Linked DNA regions of Sus scrofa. The protein of the gene in region 1 interacts with the protein of each later gene in a pairwise test. Links are inferred from orthologs where the notes say so. Each region holds a gene or a part of one and is shown in the gene's direction. Other genes may lie near its edges.

Region 1 (7,209 bases):
ACGATTTTGAGAAGCAGCCTGGTATAGCAAAGAGAACGACACCAGGCTAGCATAGTTCCCTTAAAGAGATATACTTTAAGTATATCGTAAAGTCAGATCTGCCTTTTGAGAGTCTGCTACCAGAAGAATTCAATATCCTGACCTGTATAGGGGGAGAAAACAACTGTTTTGTGGGTGGTTTCAAGTTTTTTGAAAAAGTACTACTGTGGAAACCAACCAAGCTTTTGTCTAAAAGCTCCCATTTCCATTATAAAAACGAAGCATGATCACCGAAGGGGGAATAGCTGAGGGTGAGGTGGGGGGTTAGGGAGAGCAGTGAAGGTGTAAACAGCTGCCATGGTGATGAGAAGAGCAAACAGACCAGGAACCCTCCAAATGCTATTTGTTGGTAGAGCTTGGTTGCAGCTGGGACTGGGAATATTTAGTGGCATTCACTACACAGCTGTGTTTTCCTCTAGCTGTGTGAATGGAGGACCAGAAAAGTTAAAACAGCTGGACTGGGAGTTCCCTGGTGGCCGAGCAGTTAAGAACTCGGCATTGTCACTGCTGTGGCTTCAGTTTGATCCCTGGCCTGGGAACTTCTGCATGCCATGGCATGGCCAAAAAATAAATAATAATAAGTAAAACAGGTGGAATGATACAAAAAGGACACAAGGGCAGCAAAAAAATTCAGGGATGGAGTGACATGCCACTGAGACTGCTGAATACAGAGGTAAACTCCACAAGGGAGGCAATAATGAGGAAAGAATGGAGAGGCTGGAATTAGAAACCATGGGATAGGCACAGCTGGGACAATGCAGAGTAGGGGGCAGGGCTGGAATTAGGAGATCACAGGCGAGCAGTGAGACAAGAGCGTAACATCCAAAAGCTTTTCCTTTCTTCTGTTTTTTTTTTTTTTTTTTTTTTTTTTTTGTCCCCTTAGCCACCACCCTCTACTTCTGTGGTTTTCTCTCCCTTGAGTCTGACTATAGTGCAGAACATGGCTCCCCAAGTTTTCCCCTGACTGCTCCTGAAGACGAGCACACAGACCTCCTCGGTTTAAAGGATTTACTGCTCAATTTCTGGGAGTATTAAGAAAGTAACAACTTGGGGGAGTGGTTAACGTTCTAGAACACCCAGAAGTCCTATAGGTTTCATCTGTCTGGGGCTACTGACTTTCGAAGAGGTAGTGCCTAAAAGCCCTGTGGTTTCTTAATCCATGGTCCTTAATATCTCTAAGCGAACCATTTAAGTCAGACAGATTTAAGGACAGAGTTCCCATTTTCTCTGCCGTCTGGGCACGAACCAGCGTCTTGTTGCCAATTTTAAAGCTGTACCCACAGACCTTCCTTTAACCAGGTGCCTGGGAATGCTGAGGTTTTCCTTCCACACACAGAAGGCAACTTCTCCCTGCCCAGAATATCAACCGCACAGATTACAGCAGGTTTATTAGCTCCAGGAAAAGGAGCAACAGTACCTAGCTCTCAGGCAACTCCTCATTCTCTACATACAGGCTCCATCTTGCCCAAGGTCCACTGCTCCTTCAACGTGAGGGTCCATCCAGTGCCTCCCTTCTCAGCGTTGAGGACAGCTAGCTGCCAGATGGCGAGGCTTCTGGCTGTTCAGCAGCAACACCTGGCACAGCTGAGGCAGCCTCGTAGTCAGCGATGCGGCGCTGTACCAGGGCAGGCATGAGCTGCACGTAAGCGGCCATGAGGCGGTGGTTGGAATGGATCAGCTTCCCGGCACAGCTGTGCAGACAGGCCTCCTGGAAGGAAGACAGGGTGGAAGTAGAAGCCAAAGGTGTCCAGTCAGGTCCGTTTCCCTCCTTCCCATCCCCAGCCTCAGGGCGGAGGTCGTGGGAAGCCAGGGCCGGACGTAGGGGAATTGACGGGAGAGGGAAGCAGTGCACGGTTAGCTCTGAGGCTCGAGGAGCACTTCCCTACTCAGTTCCCCCACCTAACCTCCTCGGCATCCAGAGCTCGGTGATGCAGGCTGGGCACGCAGCGCTGGAAGCAGAGTTCCGTCATCCGATTGTAGACCAACAGGAAGTCCCGCAACTGGGGAGGAAGGGGGACAAGGAACTCAGCGAAGAGGGGGCCACGTCTCAACTCAAGGCCGCGCTGCCGGCGCTTTCCCAGGACCGTGTACCACGGCCCGTGGTTCCCAGCCCTTGGATGCCTGGCTCTCTGGGGTTTCCGCCATGCGAACAGGGATGCTAGCTGGATGCAGGGCCCTTAAGCGACTTAGCTCCCACTCACGTTTCTCAGCTGCTGCTGCTGCTGCTGTTGCTGTTCCATCACGCCGCCGGCGCACAACCTACGTCACTTCCGTTACAGCTTCTAGGGAACGCCCCGGAAGTGACCTCAATGGCTCCCCAGGGGCAGAGGGGTTGGCTCAAGGAGCGCCCGCCCACCTCCCCGCGACGTCACTTCCGCCCTCATAATCGGCTACGTGGCCGGCTTCTTCTGCCCGGGAGAGGACGTCACTTCCGCCGAGTCCCTGACCTGCTGCTAGGATCGCGACGGGAACTGGATCCCGAGATCCCCGCGCGGCCCGGGCCTGGCGCCCTGAGGGGAAGAGCGGCCCGGCCCGAGGTGAGAGGGACGTGCATGGGCGAGGGCAAGGTGAACGCACGAACCTGACCTGAGGGCAAGATGCTTCTGAGCCCTGGGAAAGGATGAGGACACACCTGACGCCCAGGTGTATGGGGGGAGGGCGGAGACTCACACACCTGGGGAGACCTAACTGACTTTGGAAGGGATCACCTCCCTATGTCCTGGGGCAAAGGGACTTTTCCCCGGGGTCGGGAACTTACACCAACTGATTCAACTAAGGCCTGGGGCGGGGGTGGGGGCAGGAAGAGGGGGTGCATGGGATGGAGGAGGGGGAGACCACCTGCAGGAAAGAGGAGGAGACATTAGAGGAGTGTGAAAGGCCAAACAATGGCGAACATACCTGAACGGGGATAGGCACCTGAGCGCTGGGAAAGGGATTGTCTCCTGATGAGGAGGAATACCTGCGTGGGGATAAGCTGCTTGAGAGCACAGGCTTTCTCTCCATTGCCTCAAATAGTGCGTGGCATGTAGTAGGCACTCATTAAATGTCTGTGGAAGGACTGAATGCATGAATGATCCCTGGACTGCTGGGGGGGTGGGGGTGGGGGGGTCATGAGAACATGACCTCTGGTCAGGCACACCTGAGGCCTGGGTGCCTGTGTGTAAAACTTTGCACCTTGGAAGGGAGAAAGACAAAGCCCCGAGGGAAGAGTGGTGGGCAGACCCCACCACACTGAAGCCCCGGGACGGCCTCTGCAAGGGCAGGGGAGACCTTCCTCTTCGGAGAACTGGCCCGTTTCCAGAACTGTCTGTGTTGGGCTTTGCAGGGCGCTGGGGTGGAGACTTTGACTCCAGTCCCTTCGCTCGCCATGACGGACGGGATCCTAGGGAAGGCAGCCACAATGGAGATCCCCATCCACGGGAATGGTGACGCGGGGCAGCTTCCTGAGGATGATGGGCTGGAGCAGGTGCTTCTGTTTGATTCTTCACATTGTTTCAGTTGAGGAATCCCAACTCTTAAACCCTGAGCTCTCTCCTTCTTCCAGTAGCCTTCCCCCAACTCACCTGATTTCCTTCAGTCTTTTTACCAATCTTTGTTCTGATTCTGTGCAGACTTCCCTTGTGTGCTCTCTCTATGATGCTTCAATCCAAGCTTGTTTTCACCCCCAAAATGCTTCAGCTGCCCATATGTTCCTGAAGCCCCCCTCTTCTCTGGCCTATAGGACCTCCAGCAGGTGATGGTGTCAGGACCCAACCTCAATGAAACCAGCATTGTGTCTGGTGGCTATGGGGGCTCTGGTGATGGACTCATCCCCACAGGTATGAATGATCAGAGCAGGATAGGGCATTGAGTGGAGAGGGGAAGAGGACTGGCTCCAGGGGGCATAGGATACGTCTAAGAAGGCGTGAATCATGTCTGGAGCTCGTGGGAACCTCTGCCAGGATGAACCCGCGGGCATCTCAGCCCAAGGCCCGTTCCCAGGGGTGTCCATCTGCCTCCACTTGCCACTTTGTCCCTCAGATATGCCCACTTGTCCCTTCTCTGCCGTCACTACCTGAGTCAGGCAGAGAACTCTGTTCACCAGGCCTCCCCTGCTCTGGAGCTTGAATCTGATTTGGAGCTTTGAGAGGCTTATCAGAGTCTTACGTTAGACTCTGCTATTTAGAGGAACAAGCAGCCCTGAATCTCGCAGTGACTGGGATCCACATGGGAATGTCAGCCAGGTGTTCGGTTCGAGGGGCGCCCAGCCATGGTCAGCGACCCCATTCTCAGCCTAGTCTCCGCTGTTTCCTCTGCCCCTGCACACGAGCAACCCCTCCCACCTCCCTTTCCAGTCCTCACCTCCACGTCAAAAGGAGGCCAGGTGTATGTTGGGATTGGGTCTCAGGGTCCAAGGCATGAATTCCTCCTAGTGAGTCTCCAGCCCTGCTCCTTCCGGGGCGTCATTTTCATGTGCTGGGAGGGAAGTGTGGGTGGAACCACAGAGGCGTCGGATTGTGTCTGAGAGAGGCTGGTGTCAGAGAACTTGGTCCTTTAGGGTCTGGCCGCCATCCATCTCACAGCGCCCCTCCTGCTGGCCCCGGGGATGAGGTGGCCCGGGGCATCGCTGGAGAGAAGTTCGACATCGTCAAGAAATGGGGCATCAACACGTATAAGGTGGGATTCACGCACCTCCTCCGCCCCCTGAGCTCCCCCGGGTACCTCTTCCCCATCTTGCGGATCCTCCTGTCCCATCATCTCGGGCTGAGACTTGGAGTCTGGGGACGCCGGGGTAGACACTTGCTGCGGGGCAGGGCCGGGCGCCAGGGTCTCTGACCTGTTCCCCCACTTCCCACTCAGTGCACAAAGCAGCTGTTATCAGAGCGGTTTGGCCGAGGCTCCCGGACTGTGGACCTGGAGCTAGAGCTGCAAATTGAGCTGCTGCGTGAGACGAAGCGCAAGTATGAGAGTGTCCTGCAGCTGGGCCGGGCCCTGACAGCCCACCTCTACAGCCTGCTGCAGACCCAGCATGCACTGGGGGATGCCTTTGCTGACCTCAGCCAGAAGTCCCCAGAGCTTCAGGTGCCTTGGGCAGGCCAGAGGGGGAGGGGGGCCTGGGCCCGGGGCCCTCCCAGGCAGTCACCCCTCAGCCTCCCTCCTCCCTCCCTCCTGCAGCCCAGAGGGAGAACCCCTCCAGGGTGGGCCCAGCCCCGCCCCCAGCAGCACTCACCAGTGGAGGCAGCCTAAGGGTTTGTACGGAGGTCCAGAAGTCGGAGGGGGTGGGGGAGGCGGCACACTAGGTGCCTCGCAAATAGCCCTTCTCGGCCTCGGCGAGAATGCCTTCGGTGCCCAGCCTCATCGGAGCCGCTCCCTTGCCTGCTGCACTGGCTTGCCCTCTTCCAGTCCCGTGAACTCCGAGAGCCCCGCTCCCACGTTCCTGCCCTAGGCATCCCCAGGGGGGGCCCACGACCCTTCTGGCTAAGAGAGCCTTGCTGGAGGCCGCCCTGGGTGGCTCCAGTTCAGTGGCTGTTTCCTCCGGGGGAAGGAGGGCAGGAAGGGCCCCGCAGCTCTGGTCAGGTGGAGGCCGTTGCTCAAGGCCGGTCCCTGCCTTCTGCCCTCAGGAGGAATTTGGCTACAACGCCGAGACGCAGAAGCTGCTGTGCAAAAACGGGGAGACACTGCTGGGGGCCGTGAACTTCTTTGTCTCCAGCATCAACACGTTGGTGACCAAGACCATGGAAGACACGCTCATGACTGTCAAACAGTATGAGGCTGCCAGGTGTGGGCACTGGCAGGGCCCAGGGGTTGGGGAGGTGGCCGGCATGAGCGGAAGTCTGAGCTTTAGGGGCACGAGCACGGAGAAGGGAAAGGATGGATGGTGGAGACCAGCCTCTCTCACCCCCTCCTCAGGCTGGAATACGATGCCTACCGGACAGACCTAGAGGAGCTGAGCCTAGGCCCCCGCGATGCAGGGACGCGTGGTCGACTCGAGAGTGCCCAGGCCACTTTCCAGGCCCATCGGGACAAATACGAGAAGCTGCGGGGAGATGTGGCCATCAAGCTCAAGTTCCTGGAAGAAAACAAGGTGCTAACCCCACTCCTTTGACCCAGCCCCCCCTCCCTCTTTGACCCAGCCCCCCTCCCCCCAAAGACCGGCCCATCGTTGAATGAAAGTGTAACCTGGCTAAGGAGTGGGGTCTTCCCCCAGCCCACTCAACCCCTGGACCCCTCCTAGCACCCTCCCCCTGATCCCCAGCCCTTTTCTAGTGGACGATGTGGCTGCCAGTCCAGGAACAAAATTGGGAAAAAAATCAGCCCTGGAGCTGGGATGCCAGAGCCCCCTAGGCCCGGCCAGTCAAGCCAGGTTTCTCCTAGCAGAGTGGCTCTTACTCTTTGAGTCCCTTGTCGAAGCTCGGCCCCCACTTCTAAAGCACCCTGGGCGCGGAGTCCACGTCCCCCCCCCCCCCCGCCCCGGTCCAGGCTCAGGCTTACAGCCCCTTGGGGGCGGGTGAGCCCAGTCTCGGTGACCTTACTGGGCCCCCAGATCAAGGTGATGCACAAGCAGCTGCTGCTCTTCCACAACGCTGTGTCGGCCTACTTTGCGGGGAACCAGAAACAGCTGGAGCAGACCCTGCAGCAGTTCAACATCAAGCTGCGGCCTCCGGGCGCTGAGAAGCCCTCCTGGCTAGAGGAGCAGTGAGCCGCTCCAGCCCAGCCTGGCCATCAAGAAGGACATTGAGGGGGCAGGCCCAGGGTGGGGGAGATTTGGACCTGGGACATCCCTTGCCACCTGCCCTCTGGCTTGGGTTCCCTTTCCCTGGCTGGGGCCTGACGCCAGTTTTACCCACACTGCTGTGGGTAGGGAGGGGCTTGCAGGCCCAGCGGCTGCTACCCTGTTCTGTACTTCCTGGCCCCTGGGCTTCATTCCCAGATCTTTTCCTTCCACTCCACAGCCAAAGGCTGTGACAAAACCACTCCCTGGCCAACGGCATCACTCCTCAGGCCGATCCCCAGCTCCTGGGGGGTGCCCCCTGACCAATGGCAGGGCCTCAAAAGGCCCTGTCAGCCAATGGCAGCTCTTCTCAGGCTCCCCTGGGCCAATGATGTTGCCTCCAGTACCCTTTGTCCCTCCTCGATGCGTGCCCATTGCAGAGAAGGGGACTGGGACCAAAGGGGTGGGGATGGGGGAGC
Region 2 (7,220 bases), on another chromosome or scaffold:
ACTGTAAGTCAGGCTTCTTGGCTTCCTTCAGCTCTGGCCCAGCTCTTCTCCCCTTAGCCTTTCAAGTAGCAGGGAAGCTGGAGGGTGGCTGGCTCATTGCCAGTTGGGAAGCACCCCTCCTGTCTGTGCTCCTGTTTGCTCCGTGGGAAGCACCCAGTAATGCTGCAACAGACACTTTCCTCTCCAGACTCCAAAAGAATCAGGGACAGAAGGGCCTCGAGATTCTCCAGGTTCCATTCATCAGTTCTGACTCAAATACCATGGTACTGACGGCTAACCATATTCGACCGTTACCATTCCATCCTTCCGTCACACTTGGGACCCAACCTTGAGAAGATCTGAGGTCTTCAGAAGGAACACTGACAGGTGTCACGTCCTGTTGGAGTTCCACAAGGCAATGCTGGTACTGCTGAGACACTAGCAAGGGCCGTTGCAAAGCCTTCATTTTGGTGATCAGTGTGTGGGCATAATCTGGTGGGGTGTGCCTAGAAGATTCTAGAGAAAGGGATGGAAAGAGTAAGCATGTGGAGGTATCAAAGGGCCCACTCTAGGAGTCTCTAATCACCCTGGAGGAGTCTTCTGCCATTTAAAACACAGAGCTTAGGAGGGAAAAGGCCCTTAATGGCGACAGCCCAGGACAGATACAGCTCTCTTTGTCACAAACATGCTCTTTGTTGTCCGCCTCATCCTTCAGTATTTTAAATTCAGGTCTTCTTGGCGTCGCATTCTAGGGTTGTGTTCTTCTCCGGGTTAAAATACAAGAGAAAAGAAAGTGGGATATGAGGAAGGGACTGGCGAATGCATACACAAGGGATTCATGGGGACAAGGGGTAGACATAGTTTAGCTATCGACCAGTCTAGTTCTTCTTGGAAGGAGACAAGAAACAAGGCAAAAAAAAAAAAAAAAAATCCAGAAAAGCAACAATTTTGGCTCAAGCTTTAGGGAAGAGCCATGTGTTCCCATATACAGATGGTCCCAACTTACAATGGCTCAACTTATAATTTTTTTACTTTACAATCATGCAAAAGTGATACGCATTGAGTAGAAACCATAATTTAAATCTTGCATTTTGATCTTTTCCCAGGCTAGCAAAATGCGGTAGGATATTCTCTTGAGATGCTGGGCAGTGGCAGTGAGCTGTAGCTCCCAGTCGGCCATGCTGTCACAAGCGTAAAGAACTGACACACTTACAACCATTCTGTGCCCATACAACCATTCTGCTTTTCACTTTTAGTATTCAACAGATTACATAAGATATTCAACACTTTATTACAAAACAGGCTTTGTGTTAGATTGTTCTTCCAAACTATAGGCTAGCGTAAGTGTTCTGAACATGTTTAAGGCAGGCTAGGCTGCTATGATGTTTGGTAGATTAGGCATAAATTCGTTTTCAGCTTAAAGATATTTTCAATCTATGATGGGTTTTATTGGGATGCAACCCCGTTGTAAGCTGAGAAAGGTCTGAACTGCCGTAAATGAGGACAGAGGGCACATCAAGAACCTTCTTCTGGGAGTTCCCTGGTGGCTCCAGGGGTTAAGGACCCGGTGTGGTCACTGCTGTGGCTCAGATTACTGCCGTGGCCTGGGTTCAATTCTTGGGCCAGGAACCTCTGCATGCCATGGACGTGCTGTACCCCATACCCGCCAAAAAAAAGAACCTTCTTCTGTTCTTTAGTATTACTAGTACCCTTCTTGTATCACAGCTGTAGCTGTTCCAAGGTAGCTTTGCATGTCTAGACCAGGTGCAGAAATGGTGTGAGGAAAGTGGGGGTGGGCAGGAATAGAGAAACGTGGGTGCAGGATCCCTCACTATCCTTATAATGTTAAAACTCATATTCATCTGAAATACTTCCTCAAACCACATCTCTGAATATGACGCCTCAACTGTCATTCAAGTTCCAGCTTCCCAACTGGCCCAGCGTCCAGTTGTTTCCTTCAATCTCTTAAATTCATCACTCTCCTCCTTCCCAATGTAAAAAATCTCTTGATTCTGACCCCGGGGTAACCTAGTGCTAGTAGTGAGTAGCAACACTGGTGCAGCGAGGGCTCTCAGGGCGTGCACCTACCTCTGGTTAAGAAATACAGAAATCTGAAGGGGTAAGGGCCAAAGCAAGGGCTGTTCAATCATACTCTGCTCCTTCCGGACTTCCAAGGAGCCCCAGTCTCCAGTGTACCCACTATCCGGCCCGTCTTTAAATTCCAAGCACCGCCCTGGGGCTTGGGATTCTCACCTCTGTCCCCACTGCCTCACCCCCATTCCGTAGCTCCCGCCTCCTCCACCCGCAGATTCCAGCCCCCATTTCGGCCCCCTCCCGGACTCCAGCTCCAACACCCGGCTGCCACTGCTGCAGCCGCTGCCATGGTGATGGATCTCGCGAGAACTGCCGCTCACCGCCGCGCAACTCTCGCGCGATCGGGGAGGTGGGAAGTATCCCGGCCTGGGGGTGGGGGTGCGGCGCACAGCTCCTGTCGCCGTCGCGGCTTCCGGTGCTAGGTGGTGGGAAGGAAGGAGGGAGCTGGGAGCGGGGCCAGGGGAGCAGCAGCGCTGAAATCGGCTGAGGGAGCCGGAGAGAGTGGAGCGAGAGCCGAGCGGAACCCGCGGGGGCGGAGGCGGCGGCCGCAGCGGCAGAGCTGCGAGCAGGAACAGGTGAGGGGCTGAGGAGAGAAGGCGGGTCCGGGTAGAGGAGAGGCTCGGGGTGGTGGCTGAGAGGATAGAGCAACCCCCCCTCCCGTCCCCAAGCTCGCACGGCCGTGCCTGGCATCGGACGGTGGGGTCCTTCCCACCCGAGAGCTCGGAGAGGGGCCGCTGGGCCATCCTCACGCCTGCCCCCGCATTTGAAGGACGCGGAGCTGGGGTGGGGGTGGGGGGCGCACACGGATTTGTCCTCCGTCTCGCACAAGGGGGCGACCTGGGCTGCAGTTAGGTTCCCCTCGCCTGCAGGAGGTGGGCTTTTGAGGGGTTGGGGCTGAGGGGGAGGAGAGCAGTCCAGGGAGAGGTGACGTGGGGGCGGTGATGGTTGTTTTATATCCTTTTCCTATTAAAGGGCTAGAGAATGTCGCTTTTTTCCTGCCCCCGCTCCTCCTCCACCTTAGTAATGGATCAGAGAGAAGCTTGCCATGGTGACACCTCCTCCCCCCACATCATGGGGCAGGGGTGCATAGGGGGTTTAGGGATTAGCCGGGAACGCAGGCTCGTGGGCACCGCAGGGGCACTGTTCTGGTAGAGATTGTGCTTTCGGGTCTTGGGAACCGCAGGTTGGGAAGAGGGCAGCAGGTGAGGAGCAGGAGGGGAGGCGGCAGGGAAGGGGGAGGGGGATCTGATCTTGGTTGGAGAAGAGAGGTGGTGCCTTCCTCCCCCAGGCGAAGCGGGGGCGGTCTCACAGGAGGAGGGAGCATCTTGTCGCTGGCTCTGAGTTTGTGTCTTCCAATCCGCTTTCTTTCTTTAGGAAGTACCAGGATTCCCGGAACAGAAAATGGAGCCATTGCTTACACCAGTGCTTGAGGGAGGAAGGGGGGGAGTGGAATTCCCTGTTAAAACGAACCACTTGATGAGCAAAGTGGTAGCTCCTCGTCTGGGGGAGTTCCCTTCTTTCTGGGTTGTATTACTGCCAGTCTCCCTCTGGCCAGGCCAGGGGGAGTGTGGTATGTGGTCAGGAGTGAGAAGAAATAGTGAGGTCATCGGGTGAGGGAGAAGTGTAACTTAAAACCTGTCTCTGCCGCCGTTGATTGGGTCATCCCTGGTCTTTGGCATGAAAGTTTTATTTGATAGGAGATCTGCTGCAGGAGTCTGATTGCTTGGGTCAGTGCAGCAGAACAGAATCTAGTCTCTGCCTATTTCCTTCCCTGTCCCTTATCAGGTGGTGACAATCTTTGCTGCCATTTTGTCTGGAGCTTGTTGTTGGAGCAGGCGTCTCCACTTACTATGACTGGAATGGGTCAGTGAATTGGTCATTGTACATTAGACGTGAGTTTGAATAACATGTCTTTAAAAGCTCATTCTGAGAAAGAAGCTGATCCGTTGAGTTCACCTTTTCAGAGAATGAATCATTGACCTTTGATTCAGCTGGAAAGGGTTCTTATGTATCACGTATTCACATGCCTCTGGTCTCCTAGCATAGAGTTATTAGCTTGTTTAGTCAAAATTCTTTTGAGTATGTCTTGCTTTTCCAAAGAGAAGAAGCTTTTTGAGTGTAGGAGTTGGATGCCATTTTGTACTTCCCATACTACTTGTGCACAGTAGGCACTCAGGATGTAAATGAGTAAAACTCAGGTTTTCTGACCACAGTTTAATGAAAGAGAAAGAGGTGGCCTGGCCATCAGGGAGAGTGCCCGAAGATAGCTGAATGAGGGCATAAAGGTCCTTAGCTTTTGTAATTTAGAGTCCTTGGTCTGTCCATCTTCCTAAGAAGCCCAGAACAACCATGGATAATGAAGCGAAGACGCAAAAAGAAAAATATTAGGAATTCCTGTCGTGGCACAGTGGTTAACGAATCCAACTAGGAACCATGAGGTTGCGGGTTCGATCCCTGGCCTTGCTCAGTGGGTTAAGGATTCTGCATTGTCGTGAGCTGTGGTGTAGGTCGCAGACGCAGCTCGGGTCCCACGTTGCTGTGGCTGTGGTGTAGGCCAGTGGCTGCAGTTCCAATTGGACCCCTAGCCTGGGAACCTCCATATGCTGTAGGTGCGGCCCTAGAAAAAGGCAAAAAGACAAAAAAAAAAAAATATTAGAACACAGAGTTATTATTTATCTGAAATCTCAGATATCCTGCTTCCCCATTGTGGGCAAGGGAGTCTCTCTATCAGATCTAAGTCCTTCAGAGTGTCATCTACAAATTGGGATCCTGGTGATTAGGGAGAAAGGAGCCAGCGTATGTCCAAGGTGCCAGTGAATGGTAGCCATTATTATTAAACTGAATTCAAGTGTTAAGGAGGGCAGACAGCAGGTTGGCAGGAGTGGAAGTGAAGTCTTAAGTGCACAAAAGGTCTTACTGTGTGTGTTCATCTCTGCTACTCTTTTCCATTGGAGTCACAATAGAGGAAATGGACTCAGGACAGTGGGTGGGAGTTGCTGGTTCGTGGAGGAAGTCCTTTAAAACTAGGACTGTTAAAGCTGAGTCAGTAACTGAGGGACATTGTGGAATCTGCTTCCCCATATACCTTTAGAAACAGAGACCAAGAGGCCTGAGACTTGAAACATATCACTGTGTTTGGCTCGCCTCACCGTTCTTTAACAACTCGAGGTATAATTGATTTACAATATTGTGTTTGTTTCAGGCGTACAGCATAAATCCCTTCACCAATTTCGTTGCAGGTGAATTAAGACGCAAAATGGTGTGGTAATTGATTAAGTGTGGACCTTGGAACCAGACAAAATTAGGTTCAAATGGTGTGGTAATTGATTAAGTGTGGACCTTGGAACCAGACAAAATTAGGTTCAAATCCTGCCTCTGCTAATTTCTAGTTGTATGATTTTAGCGAAATTATCTATCCTCTCTGCGTCATTTTCTTTGTCTGTAAAGAGCGAGATAATGTTGGCCTGAGATTAAATGAGATAATACAGGAGTTCCTGTTGTGGCTCAGTGGGTTAAGAACCCGACTAGCATCCATGAGGATGCAGGTTTGATCCCTGGCCTCGTTCAGTGGGTTAAGGATCCGGCGTTGCCACAAGCTTCGGTGTAGGTCTCAGGTGTGACTTGGATCAGGTGTTGCTGTGGCTGTGGTGTAGACCTACAGCTTCAGCTCCGATTGGCCTCCTAGCCTGGGAACTTCCATATGCCGCAGGTGCAGCGGTAAAAAGAAAAAAAACTGAGGCAATACATGTAAAACACTTAGTATTATACAAAGTACATAGTAAGCCCCAAGTAAATGTCAACTGCTATTAATAATAATCATCATAATAGCAATAATAACATGAGCACTCAGGGCTGCCTTGAAGAAGAGGAGGTCTACAAAAGAACAACTTGCCGCCTGAAGTGCTTGTGTAGAAGGATGATTGTTACCGTGACTCTCTGTGTTAGTCGTAGGCTCATGAGCAATGAAATCTTTTTTCAGCATCAGCCTCACAGAGGCAGCTCCTGTTGCCTGAGTGGGAGGTAAAGCTGGAGCAAGGCAGGGTCCCTGAACCAGCAACTTGGATGTAGGGTGAGGCTGTGGGGGCTCAAGAATAGCATTCATGTTAGAAAAATCAGAATGACTCTGAAGTAACGGTTGACTCTTCTAAAAAAGAGCACCCTGATCGACCTAGGTTGGGCATTTAGATTTGTGGGTCCCAGAGTTCTCTTGTGGCACAGCAGGTTAAGGATCTGGTGTTGTCACTGCAGCCGCTTGGGTCGCTGCTGTGGCACAGGTTTGATCCCTGGCCCGGGAACTTCCATATGCTATAGTCGTGGCCAGAAAAAAAGAAAGAAAGAGCGAGTTCCCATTGTGGCTCAGTGGTTAACAAACCCAACTAGGAGCCATGAGGTTGCGGGTTCGATCCCTGGCCTTGCTCAGTGGGTTAAGGATTCAGCGTTGCCCTGAGCTGTGGTATTAGGTCACAGATGTGGCTCGGATCTGGTGTTGCTGTGGCTCTGGTGTCGGCCGGTCTGTGGCTACCGCTCCGATTAGACCCCTAGCCTGGGAGCCTTCATATGCCGAGGGTACGGGCCCAGAAAAAGACAAAAAAAGAAAATTGATTCCTGGGTCCCCTTATTTTAGATTTCAGTCAGTATTTCAGCATCCTCCATTTCCTGGGCCAGTCTTTTCACTTAGTCATATCTCCTTTAAATGTCTGCCTCTGTTTGAGAACATACTGTGTTCAAGTCCAGAGTTCTGGTATCTGTACTTCTGTCTACTATCCTTTTTATGACATCTGTTGCAAATATAGGTAGAGTGTTAATGAAGCCTCTTGATTTTTTTTTTTTTTTTTTTTTTTGTCTTTTCTAGGGCCGCACCTGTGGCATCTGGAGGCTCCCAGGCTAGGGGTCTATTCAGAGCTGTAGCCGACAGCCTACGCCAGAGCCACAGCAACGTAGGATCCGAGCCGCATCTTCGACCTACACTACAGCTCACGGCAACACTGGATCCTTTAACCCACTAAACGGGGAGGCCAGGGATCGAACCCACAACCTCATGGTTCCAAGTCAGATTTGTTAACCACTGAGCCACAATGGGAACTCCCAAGCTTCTTGATATTGAAAGGACATGGGGAGCATTTGGAAAAAGTTCCAGAAATGTTTAA

The links. The genes of interacting proteins can lie anywhere in the genome.
Region 2: the proteins of ARFIP2 (region 1) and ARF3 interact in a two-hybrid assay, tested with the Homo sapiens proteins (2 studies listed by BioGRID and IntAct). The link is inferred for Sus scrofa from reciprocal best matches to the Homo sapiens genes ARFIP2 and ARF3.

Annotation. Positions count from the first base shown.
Region 1 is NC_010451.4:3,247,590-3,254,798, forward strand, and holds the start of ARFIP2 (arfaptin-2), read left to right. Parts: upstream 1-2,421; 5' UTR 2,422-2,576; intron 2,577-3,364; 5' UTR 3,365-3,406; coding exon 3,407-3,505; intron 3,506-3,760; coding exon 3,761-3,857; intron 3,858-4,576; coding exon 4,577-4,695; intron 4,696-4,878; coding exon 4,879-5,100; intron 5,101-5,639; coding exon 5,640-5,797; intron 5,798-5,928; coding exon 5,929-6,103; intron 6,104-6,562; coding exon 6,563-6,718; 3' UTR 6,719-7,209. Other genes in the region: TIMM10B (mitochondrial import inner membrane translocase subunit Tim10 B), read right to left, coding at 1,571-1,747, 1,944-2,039, 2,241-2,279. UniProt on the Homo sapiens protein: Plays a role in constitutive metalloproteinase (MMP) secretion from the trans Golgi network. May have important functions during vesicle biogenesis at certain cargo subdomains, which could be predominantly utilized by secreted MMPs, such as MMP7 and MMP2.
Region 2 is NC_010447.5:14,988,193-14,995,412, reverse strand, and holds the start of ARF3 (ADP-ribosylation factor 3), read left to right. Parts: upstream 1-2,396; 5' UTR 2,397-2,648; intron 2,649-7,220.